Drosophila melanogaster: one gene and its partners. Changing the gene in region 1 together with any one later gene gives a genetic interaction. Each region holds a gene or a part of one and is shown on either strand. Other genes may lie near its edges. The genes, in order: ct, Ssl1 and Nipped-B.

Region 1 (3,755 bases):
GTCTGTCTTTCACTGTGCGCGTCTCTCGCTTTTCACGATCAATCGAAGAAGAAACTCCAATTAAAAAATTTGCCCGGCTGTCGACGCAACCTAATTAACTTGCCAAACCATATAGAGAGTATTTTTATATATAGAAATATTCAAAAATATATACAGCAGTTGATATTTCCATGTCTGGTCTGGCAGATGATTTTCTTTTCCCCTTTTTGGCCTCTAATGTTATTTTGCCGCCTTATTTGTTCGGAGTCTGGCATTTGGCCAGCGAAATTCTCAGCATCGTCTGGCCCCCGCCTCCCGATTTTCCACGCCCCCTTTTACAGCGAAACCCCCATCTGAATTGTCTCTTCCGTCTGGCCGATCTTGTCTGGCTTTATCTTTTTCGGTTCACTGGTAGTAGAAAACAGAAAAAAAAACGCTTCAAAAAAAAAAAAAGTTATTCAAGCAATAAACTGTTCACTTATTACTTGCTTGTTGCACTTTGCATTTGTTGTTTTTGTTTTGTGCAAACAAATTTTTTTTCAGAAATCAATAATAGCAGAAAAAATAAATAAATTTACAACAAGAAATTAGACAACAATAACGGGCCAGCAACAATAAAAACACATTTGCCATAGACACGCAAACTCAATTAGTTAACTTAAGTTAAGTTAAGCAGTTTGCGGGGCCAAAATATGGGGGCTGTGTGGGGTTAAAGTGGGCGGCTGGGCGCACTAGGGTTATTGTTGTCAGCTGTGGGAGTTTCCAGTGAAATGCAACGAATATCACAGAACTCGGGAACTATTCACTGTTTAGTTACAATGATAATTGCAAATTTGTATATGACTTTTTAGTCTAATCAATGTATGGAAAGTTCTAATTTTAGCTTATAACGTTTTAAAGGCTTTCGGGCTTTTCGCGTTACGCTCCCTAAACTTTTCACTTTGAATACACAATACTGTATGAATCGAATTCATTTCATTCATATAAAGTTAGAAAACGCAAGTATCAAATTTTATGCTACATATAACAGGTGTAATTTCATCTTTTTGTTGACAAAAATAAGATACACCTTGCATGTAATATAAACGTAAGACTGTTTGTCAATGCGAATAAAAGTGAGAACAGAAGATAAAACACTTTTGCACCGAACATTTTACGAACCCGTAATCTCAGCTTGTTTGGCCAATTCATTGAACTATATTCATATTATTATTCTTGAAACACGAAACTTCTTGCTTTTAAGCACCGTTTTCCATCGTTTTGCTAACTTTTCTTACCTGTTGCCAAAACTGTGCCAATAAATAAATTTGCTCCTTTTTGAAAAACCAATCGTTGATTGATTGAACAGCCGTCAGATCCATATCGGCTGTCCCAGCGGCTTGTGGCAATGTTGGCTGCATTCGTGGGCTTTCTTGGGTTAATTCAATAATTCTCAGTCAGTTTTTGCTTAGGTTTTTTTGGGGTTTTCAGTTTTTGGATTCTACCAATTTGGGGCTAATAAGGCCTGGCATTATTCTGTTCTGTTGTCGTTTCGATTTTACTTGTTAGTTAGTTGTTATTTAATTCGGTTTTCGTTTTTAGTCATCACATTTACACCTTAAGTAGTATGTTTCTTGTTACGTGCTCAAAAAAATGCATAAATAAGCCAATTTCTGTGTGTTATTATTATTATTATTATGGTTATGTTATGTTTTATATTTTGTTCACTTTAGTTCCGAAAAAGAATTTTTTTTGATTTTTTTGGAAGGGGGTTTCTTCTTGTTGTTGTGTGGGGGATTTTGTTGTAGTCGTTTGTTGAATGGTGAGGGTATGATGTTGTTGTTTTGGTTGTTGCCTGTTGTTGTTGTGTGTGTGATTTTTTCAAGCCATTATCATTATGTTGTTGCTTTTTGGCTGTGGCTTATTTTGCACATGTTTGCTGTCGCTGTTGTTGCTTTTGATGTTGCTGTTGTTGTTTACACTTGACACTCATACACGCGCACATATTTTAGCGAACAAAAATGCACTTGAAAAAAATAATAAACAGTTATATTATACGTTCGTTTAGTCCTTTTTGATTTGTTTGGCTGTGTGCTGTTTTGTTTATAAATATGATCAATACGTTTCTTCTTCTTGGCAAGCGAGATTCATTCTTTTGCAATTATTTTTTTATGAATTTTTTGTATGAAGTGGGTGGGGGGATTCTTCTGCACACACACACACACGACGTACACACACAGTGAGAGAGAGGGGCACACACGCACACACACCCGCGCCGCGGCTAAGAAGAAGAAGCTGCACTGCCTTGTGGGGCAGTAGAATCCAAAAATCTTCTGAAATTCTCGATTTCTTTCGGCGACGGACGAACGAAACGACGTTGCCAGTCACGAATGCTGTTGATGACTGAACAAATCGAACGTTAACGAAGCGCCGACAACCCTCTGCCGCAGAGAGCGCCGACAGCGGCGTTGGCAGCGACAGAGGCGCCACAAACACACAACACACTCATGCAGCGCAACTCTCTCGCTCGCTCTCTCACGCTCCGCGCAAGAGAATCTCACTCAATTCCCGTGCACTGCTTTTGATTTCTTTCAATAGCTTTTTGATTTTCTCACTTTTTTTGCGCTTTCCTTCTCGGCTTTTTTTTTTACTCTTATTTTTGAGCATTTTTCTGCGCCGTCGCATGTCAGTTGCATGTATTGAAATTCATTCATTCACAGACACTTTGGCTAGTGCCCTCCCGCTCGCACATCGCTTTTCTTATTGGAAACGAAAGAGCCAGGCGCTCGCCTCTCTCCACTACTGCTTGTTGTTGTTGCTTATTGAGCGCAGGATTGAGTGCAACGTCGACTGTGACGCTGGCGGAGGGATTGAGATTGAGGATATTTCGGAAAGTTGTAATATTTTTTGGCTTTAGGGGGATTTACCTGGAATTCAAGTATTATTCTGAAACTGATAAGTTTTAAAGTTAAGAACTAAAGAACTAAAAGTTCCACGAGATAAGTCTTAGAATTAAAAGCAGCTGCTATATTCATCAAATGTTCGAACATAGTAAACAATAGTAGAAAGTGATGGAAATAAAAAAGTAAATACGAAGTGTAAATTAAGCTAAATGCAACAAACAATTCTATGTTTTGTTGTTTAATTTAATTTTTATGTTTTTTTTTAGAGGTAAATGTAACATTTAGAAACAATCTGTCCTTTCCAAATTTCCGCCACTTTATGATGCACCTTAAATTGCATTCCTAACTTAAGTCCCTTGGCTGGCTGTCTCTGTTCGGCTCTTCAAAAATCCATGGAATATTAAATTGGAGAGTAAGCCCCTTCTCAGCCTCCCGTTATTTTGTGTTTTTCCGCAAACCCCTGGAATTTGCAGTCCCGTTGCGGGATTTTCGCATAAAGAAAAGTTCAAATTGTATCGAAGCGCCAAGTGCAATGCAGACGCCCCCGACCCCCTTGGTATTCTCACTCCCTATTTTTCTACTAAACCCCATGATTTCTGCTGGGCGGGGAGGGGCGATGTGGTTGGGATTTTCCAAGGGGTTATGGCTTACACCTAAACTGAGACTGAGAACCCAAGTCGCAGTCGCAGATGCGTTGCTGCAGTCTGAGAGGAAAATCGGTTGAAAAGCGGTTAGGATTTGGGTGGAAAATTGTTGGTAAATGGGGTGTACGGGGAATATTGGGGGCTTGGATCTGCTCGGGGACTTCGTCGTCGGCTTGCAAAATAACGAAAATAACGGGAGAGCCGAGAGAAAGGGCAGCGCCAACTACACGAAGACAAAAAACGATGCTCG
Region 2 (3,755 bases), on another chromosome or scaffold:
ATGCGTAGTTATGTGGAAGTTCGAAATATCTATCTATAGAAAGTCAGTTACATCCCACACTGGCCGCGCTGCTTTGAGGGCCCTGGGTGTGCATCAACCTGGTCAGACTTGGAACTTTGCTGGTAAACCAGACCGTCTACGCCGGGAATGGTGTTGCATCCCACGCAGGCGTGCAATGTGTCGTGAATGAAGATGTCGCAGTCAACGCAGAAGAACTGCTTGCAGAAACCGCATCTGAAGACGACTTTATCGGCGACCTTGTCAACGCCTTGCCCAAGAGCTTTGGCGCAGCCGTAACATTCCCTGACATCGCTGGTGAGGTCGGATGACGAAGCAGGCATCGCCTCAAACGGCAGTTCCTCAAAATTTGGCACCGGGAAAAGGTGGTGGTAGGAACGCGCCAAGTGCGGCGCGGAGACCAGGGTGAGGCCGCAAGACTGGCACTCCACGGGCAGCTCGCAGTACTTGCTGTTGCATTGCGGGCAGTGGTGGCCAGTAGTGGTCAGTTCACTGGGCTCCTCCAAGTTCTCTATGTGGCACATGCACATGGACAATGGCGCGTCCTTGCCCTCAACTTCATTCTTTGTGTGCGGGAAGCCCATGCGAATAAGCGAGTTGTGCTGAGTCTTAGCGGCGGGCGGTGGATCTACCTGAGACATGAGTTGATCCCGAAAATGTGCATCATCCAAAACAGCCCCGAAGGTGCCCATTGTTTGCTGAGTGAGGTAGCGGGCCACGTGAATCTCAGCGGACAGGGAAATAACCGAGCAGCGTATGCCCTCCTTTTTTAACTCGTCGATGGTGAGGTTAATATCGACAGGATCACATGTGGTGAGCGAGCCCATGATAATGACGATCTCTCGGGAGGCGTGCGACGGCACCACCTTAAGCGATTTTAGGGCCAGATCTAGGCCATTTTGCAGCGAAGGCTCGCTGGTCAAGGACACGTTAGCCAAGCTAAACAAAAAGGGGATATAAATGGAGAACGCTGGTTTGATTCGGTTCTTACCTCTCTAGCGCTTTGAGGTGCACGCGCGAAGTGCCGGTAAGTTCGGTCACCTTCTCCGCTCGCTTAGCTTTTAGCGCTATGAGTCCTAATTGGCTGATGGGGTTCTGATCGAAGAACTCCTCGATAAACAGCTCCAGCAGCTTGACGGTGCACCGCAGTCGTGTGGGTTTCAAATCAGGCACGCTCATGGACTCAGAGCAATCGAGCACAACGAACATGTGGCGCATCATGCCCAGGCGGTTCTGCTTGGACTTTTGAGCCTGCCTCTGGCGTTTGGCCTTCTGAATGATCTCTGCAATGGCTCCATCCAGCATCCCATCCTCGTCGTCCTTGATGGCCTCCCTAATAGGATTAAAAGTAAGTGCGGGCTTACATTGTCACGCACACCATCGCACCATGTCTTTTCATAGCCCGTTTCCCAGCGGTACTCCTTCTGGTCCTCTTGCTCATCGTCGGCCATACTTGCAGTCCTGATGCACTACCAAGTCAAATCAAGAAAGAAAAGCAATTAACGCTAAATAAAATGCGCCGGCTAATGTAACAGTGTGTACACACAGGGCCTACGTTAAATACAATACACTGGGTGGCAACCCTGGGTAAGTATTTATATCAATAAATATCTACAAAAGAATGACATAATAAAATGAAATAATAAAAAATAATTTCGAATTTCTTACCTAATATGAACAAAAAAAGTACAATATTATTATTATTGCGCCCAAAGTTGCCACATCAATAAATATACCCACCACGACGCGTAATTGGCTAACTAAGTGCACCGCCACACGGGCGAACTGAAAAGGGCGCTACACCCTAAGTTTGGGCACTTAAAACCGTGCAAGCATTGAAACCCGCGTTTTATATCATATACTATATTCGAAAAAACCTTCGAAATCTTAAAATTTACTGGACTGCAGTTAGTTTAAAGCTATCGACAGGCAATACACTCCCAGTAATATTAGGATTTAAATAGCTTAGCACAGAAGAGCATTCTAAGGTCCGCACAGCCGGAACCAAATCATCTCTGGACAATTTCCGTGCAGCCGAATTTCGCTTTTGGCATTCAGAGTTCGCGCGTACAACTGTGAGCAGCAGTGGAGCTGCTCGTGTTGAAAAATCGGGAGTCAGTTAAATTAAAATAACCGTTTGAAACAACATTCAGTTTGATATTTATCCAAAATTGTTTATGAAGGTGTGTACCAAAGTGTTCTAGAGAAATCTTTTAATTTAATGATATGTGGAATAGGCTTATTTGCAATCATACCTGGCCTATATCTAGTGCCTGCAAGGTTTAGCGGGCAAAATGAAATTGTGAACTTTGATATTATTTAAACTATATGTAATCCTTTTTTTTAAATGAAAACAAATAGGATCGAACCATAGGGTTTTATTTATTTTAATTTTTAGCTGTGTTGAAGTTCAAATGCATTTGTAACAGATAAGTTTAAGTAACTAATAAAGTCGCATTACGCATAGTTCGTGCTTTTCTGTGTTTTATTATATTATATATCTACAACAGTGCGGCAGGCTCGTTCTTTTCATAATGTACTTAGTGTTTTTTTTCGGCTGCCTAAGCGCCGCTGCATTTTGCCCATTGCAGATGTACATATGCTTGAACTCACCATATCGGACACACACCGCAGACAGCGACCGTTCGCGTTGCCACCTGGTTCAAGTTAGCACAAACACACCACGGCACTGTACTTTTTCTTCGCCGTTTACCAATATTTCAAAACCAAGCAATAACAAATAATAAGACTCCATTCAGCACTATTTTTAAGTCACACTTTAAATGCTCTCTTCAAAGGCTTGGGCGCTGGAGTCGTGAATAATGTTGGCACAGGAGATTTCACCTACGGAAATCGGCAAACACGCAAACATTATAAGAGGTGAGTGACTAAAAACATTGGTAAATAATTTTTATTGTTAATTTTGTGTTCTGCCCTGCAGCTGCACAGGAGGAATTGGCAAACATGGACGTTCTTGTATGTGGACGATGTCTCCGGGCCTACAACTTCGTGGAAGAGTTTCAGGCCCACAAAGAGGACGCCTGCGAAAAGGAAAATGCAAATTTGAAGGAATCGCTCGATCCCAAGCCCACCATCTGGGCTTTTACGCTATGGAAAGCTACTCAGCTGCACTCGCGCAAGGACGCGTCCGGCAGCTCGTGGGCCTTGTACCAGCATTGGGTAAAACTAGACGATAGCGTCCGCGAGCCGTGGATTGTGGCTGGGAAGACCATACAGTCATTCGGCAAAATTGCACACGGACAACTCCAGGACATGCCTGTGCGAATAACAAAGACTGTGGTCAATCCAAACAATAACAACACATCAAATAGCAACAACAACAACACGAGCGTCTCCCCTACCAGAAGTAATACAAAACATTCTAAATAAAAGTCACACTTGTTATTAAACTATATTTAAATCAACAGAATCACCAACCGGTAAGCTGCCTACGTTAGCCAATCAACTAAAGGATACAGAAAACGAAAGACCCAAGTCCAAGCCGAGTACACCAACGCCTTCCTCAGTTCCCTCTGCCGGAGCCGTGAAGCCGAACAACCGCATAGCCATTAGGATCGATTCCAAGACAGATCAGCGCACCGAAGAGCCAGTGGAAAAGATTGTCGCTAAGCGCTTCAATCCGCGCCGTAAGACCCACGAGTATTTGGTTAAGTGGGTTGATCGCTCGCATCATGAAAACACCTGGGAGGTGATGGCCAATCTCGAGCGTGTGCCAT
Region 3 (3,755 bases), on another chromosome or scaffold:
TGCTGACGTCAAGAATTTGTGATTTTTTTTTTTTTAAATATTCAATTGAAGAGTGGTGTGCTTGAGTTGGTTCTGATTCAGTGAAAGGTGGACTTTGTACATATAACATGTTTGGGATATTTACAGAATTTAAATTAAAATTTGACGGCTCTTGGGGAAAAGTATCAGAAATATTTTGAATTTGACCAACATTTGTTGATACTTGGTTTAAATCATGTTTTAAATTATAATTGGCTTCTTGTTGCTGAATAAAAAACTGTTCTTGTATTGATTGCACCGTACTTCTTTCTGGTGTGTTAGACTTTTTTTTTAGAGTATTTTGTGAAAGTATCTTAGTCACATTTAAATCTGAATTTTCAATAACGTCAATTTTATCTTTTTCTGTTGCATTTTCCTTAAAATTTATTTGTGAAAATTCTTCTAAGATTTCTTTTGAGGTCATACTAAAACAGAAAAATGCATTAAATATAAGGCTTGTAGAATAATAAAATATATACGCCACCTAGTAAGCTGATTGAAGCAGGCTTGAGCGTCTTGCAATTGATGTTCATTTGAAATCGACAAATTTGTTGGTGATGCATAACATTCCGGTATTGAATAGGAATCAATTTGCATTTTCTTTGCCTCTAATCGAGCATTAGCAGTATGTTGGTCCGGAGAGTCTGTGGATGAAATTCATGTAATACACAAATGGTTGCTTTTATTATTAAAACATACGTATTTTTATGGAAGTGTTAAAAACCGCTGGGCGAAAATGATATATTCCCTGGAGAAGCTCAGGATAAGTACTACAGTTAGTTGCTGTGTCTTGAACTGGGCAATGTATTAACTCTCTAAAATACAAGTTATTTTAATAAAGCAAAACATACAATCAATTAAACAACTAACATATTATCGGAGTTTGTTCTCTCAATGGCAGTTACCAATTGTCGAACTAGATTTTCGTTTCGCATAGAAAGTAAATTGCTAGACTCGTTAGCTACCAAAGCATGGAACAATAAAGATTTATTTAAGGACGCAGCACTCTGGAGCGAATCCGCCACTGGTAGCTCGCTTAGCACTTGCATTTAAACGAGAAAAATATTAAAAGTTTTTAAACTTGTACATACACATTATATTTTCTTGCACAGAAAATACTTACAATCAGAAGTGCTGGTTAAACCAGCTAATGTTGTTACAGGTACGGTTGGGTTGTCACGTTCCCCCATATTAAATGTAAGGATAATCCGATAGATTACAACACAACTTTGATTCTAGGAGCTAAAAAAAATAAATCTATTATTCATTACGCTACAACCAAACATTATTTCATCAACATGATAAACAATGTAATTGGAAACAATGTTTATATGAATATATTAAAATATATGGATGTTGTCCAGCTGTATTATAAGTCACTTTATGTACTATCTTATCTTTTTAGTTTATAAATTAAAAATCTATTAGATAAATCCCTTTAAATTGATTTATAATAAACAACTACTTACGTAGTTAAAAAAATTGCGGTAGCATTACCATTTACCGTTATGTTATTGCGATCAACAATTATTAACGAATTGCCACAGTTCAATATAAACGAATTACTCCGGTTCTCCTTTGCGTTTTAATTAAATACCAACTTATACATTTACAATAATAAGTACTTGTAATTTTTTAGTTTGCGAAATAGTGTTTGAAGAATATGGCCGACCTGTAGGATAGTGTGGCCGCGCTAAACTTAATAAAAAAATACCTTTTCAGACCGAAACGTTAATACTTCATATATAATACTCCTTTCCAGACTATGTAGTTACACACCAACTCAATAAAACGTAGAGAGCTTGGATGTTTGAAAGATATTTCTAAAAGAAAAATGTTTTATTGCAATTTAGGGCATTACCGACTTGAAGCTACTTCTCCTGTCCCGATACTTATTTCAATAAATGTTAACAGTGAAAACGAGTCGATAAAAAGGTCTTCATTAGGAAATGCCGTTCAAAACGGCAAAACAACCGATATCGCATAATCTCTTTTTCCATATGAAATGCGTATGCTTACAAGATATGAATATTCAAGGATGTGCAATTGTATGCGAATAAATCGATTTTGTTTTAGTTCATTTCTTCCAGATCATGGATCTTGGGAAAACAAATTATTGATATATGATATATGATTACCTTACCTTTTTGTGCAATTATACGTAAAATTATTTTCTACAGGCTTAAAACAAATTTGCGTCTTGGTAAAGTCAATTGTCCTTCTCATACATGAGAAATATTTTGTGAATTAATAATTCAACGATTGAAGAACAATTGGCAATAAATGTGGAGCTCGTAGCCGGTACCTGCAGAGCTCGATCAATCGAATTATAGTCGAAAAGCGCCACATAGCGTCGTTTTATTGAGCATGTTTGCTCACTTACTAAAAACTTACCTTACATTGAGTGTGCGAGAGTGTGAAAAAAATTGGCCTAAAAAAATTGCTTACAAAGCGCGCACATACCGGTTCACAAAGGGAGACTAAATGAGTCGGTAGGCGGATTCGGCGGAGGTGGGCACCCAATTTACGGCCACCAAATATAAATGCATAATCAGCCTTTCCACGCTTACCAAAGGCTTAGGGCATACTCAACGTATATATCGTATATGCATACGTATTCTTTTTCTCTCCCCTGCTGCAAAACAGCAATACTGTGAGGGGTCTTAAAACTCACAATAAGTCCAGGAGAACAGAGCAGAAAGCAGTAATGCGGGAGGAGTCAGGTCAAACGCTGAAGATTGGACCTTGGACCCCGGTAAAGCGGAGAGACCGGCCAAGGGCACAGAGGTCGAACGGTAAAGGTGTTTACTGGACACGTGGACCTTGGACTCTAGCGAGCCGTGCGTAACGGGAAAATAAAACAGCCTATAGACGGCAGCAGCGCCTCTGGACCAGGCAGCTAAAGCATGTAGTGAGTAATAAGTGCACGAGGGTAGTCGAGCAGTGTATGGGCGGGAGTCTCAAAGTCAGGACGCGGACGCGTGGGTCCGTCAAGTGAAAACACAATTCAGGAGCAAAGTTCAGTGTGGGAACAGAAATTTTCTTAAACTAGACCCAGTTGGTATTATTGTTTGTAATAGAGCTGGAAAACCATCGATGGAACTATCGATACTATCGATGGTTTTAAGTATCGGTGTGAGATTTCTTCCGCAAAATCACCCGCAAAATGACATTCGGTGCGAATCGTGGCGACCCTTTCGCATCGATCCGTCCAGGGCGCGTTTAGCTTTCTCGGCATTGGGATGATAGTCGACCTTTAGGAATTTAAAGTTCTTATCCAGGTTCGAGAAGATCTCGCTAATCGTATGGCTCGTATGGCTTGAACGTCTCGCGTAGCTCAGCGTCGGTGATGTCATTGGTCAGGTTGCCCACATAGAGACGATTTCGATGGGAGAACTTCGTCTCCGTGGGCACTTCCACTGTTTCCAGTTCAAAGGTGGGCCCAGAAATCCTGCGAAACCGATGTTAAATGATGAAGTCTTCACAGCCGCGCGGACCACCATCTCCATCGCTACCACCACCCATATTGGTGCTGTTCATCGTGCCACCTGCACCTCCGCCAGGGCGTGGACCACGCTACTACCGACTACGGTTTCGGTTGTCTGCTGGTTCTGCGGGCTTCCGGAGAAACCGCCACCTTGATTGTTACCAGCATTGCGACCTCTGAATCCTTGACCACTTCCCTGAATTCCGGCTCCTCCTTGATTTCCTTGGCCTCCTTTATTGCCTGCTCCTCC

The links.
Region 2: of ct (region 1) and Ssl1, changing one suppresses a phenotype caused by changing the other (phenotypic suppression), as found in Drosophila melanogaster (one study listed by BioGRID).
Region 3: of ct (region 1) and Nipped-B, changing one enhances a phenotype caused by changing the other (phenotypic enhancement), as found in Drosophila melanogaster (2 studies listed by BioGRID).

The regions. Positions count from the first base shown.
Region 1 is NC_004354.4:7,607,040-7,610,794, reverse strand, and holds the start of ct (cut), read right to left. Parts: upstream 1,648-3,755; 5' UTR 1,380-1,647; coding exon 1,257-1,379; intron 1-1,256. UniProt on the Drosophila melanogaster protein: Regulator of cell fate decisions in multiple lineages. Specifically, functions as a determination factor that specifies sensory organ identity in precursor cells. Probably also involved in cell type specification of Malpighian tubules.
Region 2 is NT_037436.4:22,877,080-22,880,834, reverse strand, and holds the start of Ssl1 (suppressor of stem-loop mutation), read right to left. Parts: upstream 1,747-3,755; 5' UTR 1,687-1,746; intron 1,630-1,686; 5' UTR 1,470-1,629; coding exon 1,405-1,469; exon of another isoform or gene 1,352-1,404; coding exon 1,010-1,351; exon of another isoform or gene 958-1,009; coding exon 48-957; 3' UTR 1-47. Other genes in the region: Chro (chromator), read left to right, coding at 2,841-2,898, 2,960-3,385, 3,447-3,755.
Region 3 is NT_033778.4:4,727,292-4,731,046, forward strand, and holds the start of Nipped-B (Nipped-B), read right to left. Parts: upstream 1,727-3,755; 5' UTR 1,488-1,726; intron 1,261-1,487; 5' UTR 1,209-1,260; coding exon 1,142-1,208; intron 1,061-1,141; coding exon 889-1,060; intron 834-888; coding exon 718-833; intron 663-717; coding exon 503-662; intron 444-502; coding exon 1-443. UniProt on the Drosophila melanogaster protein: Plays a structural role in chromatin. Involved in sister chromatid cohesion, probably via an interaction with the cohesin complex.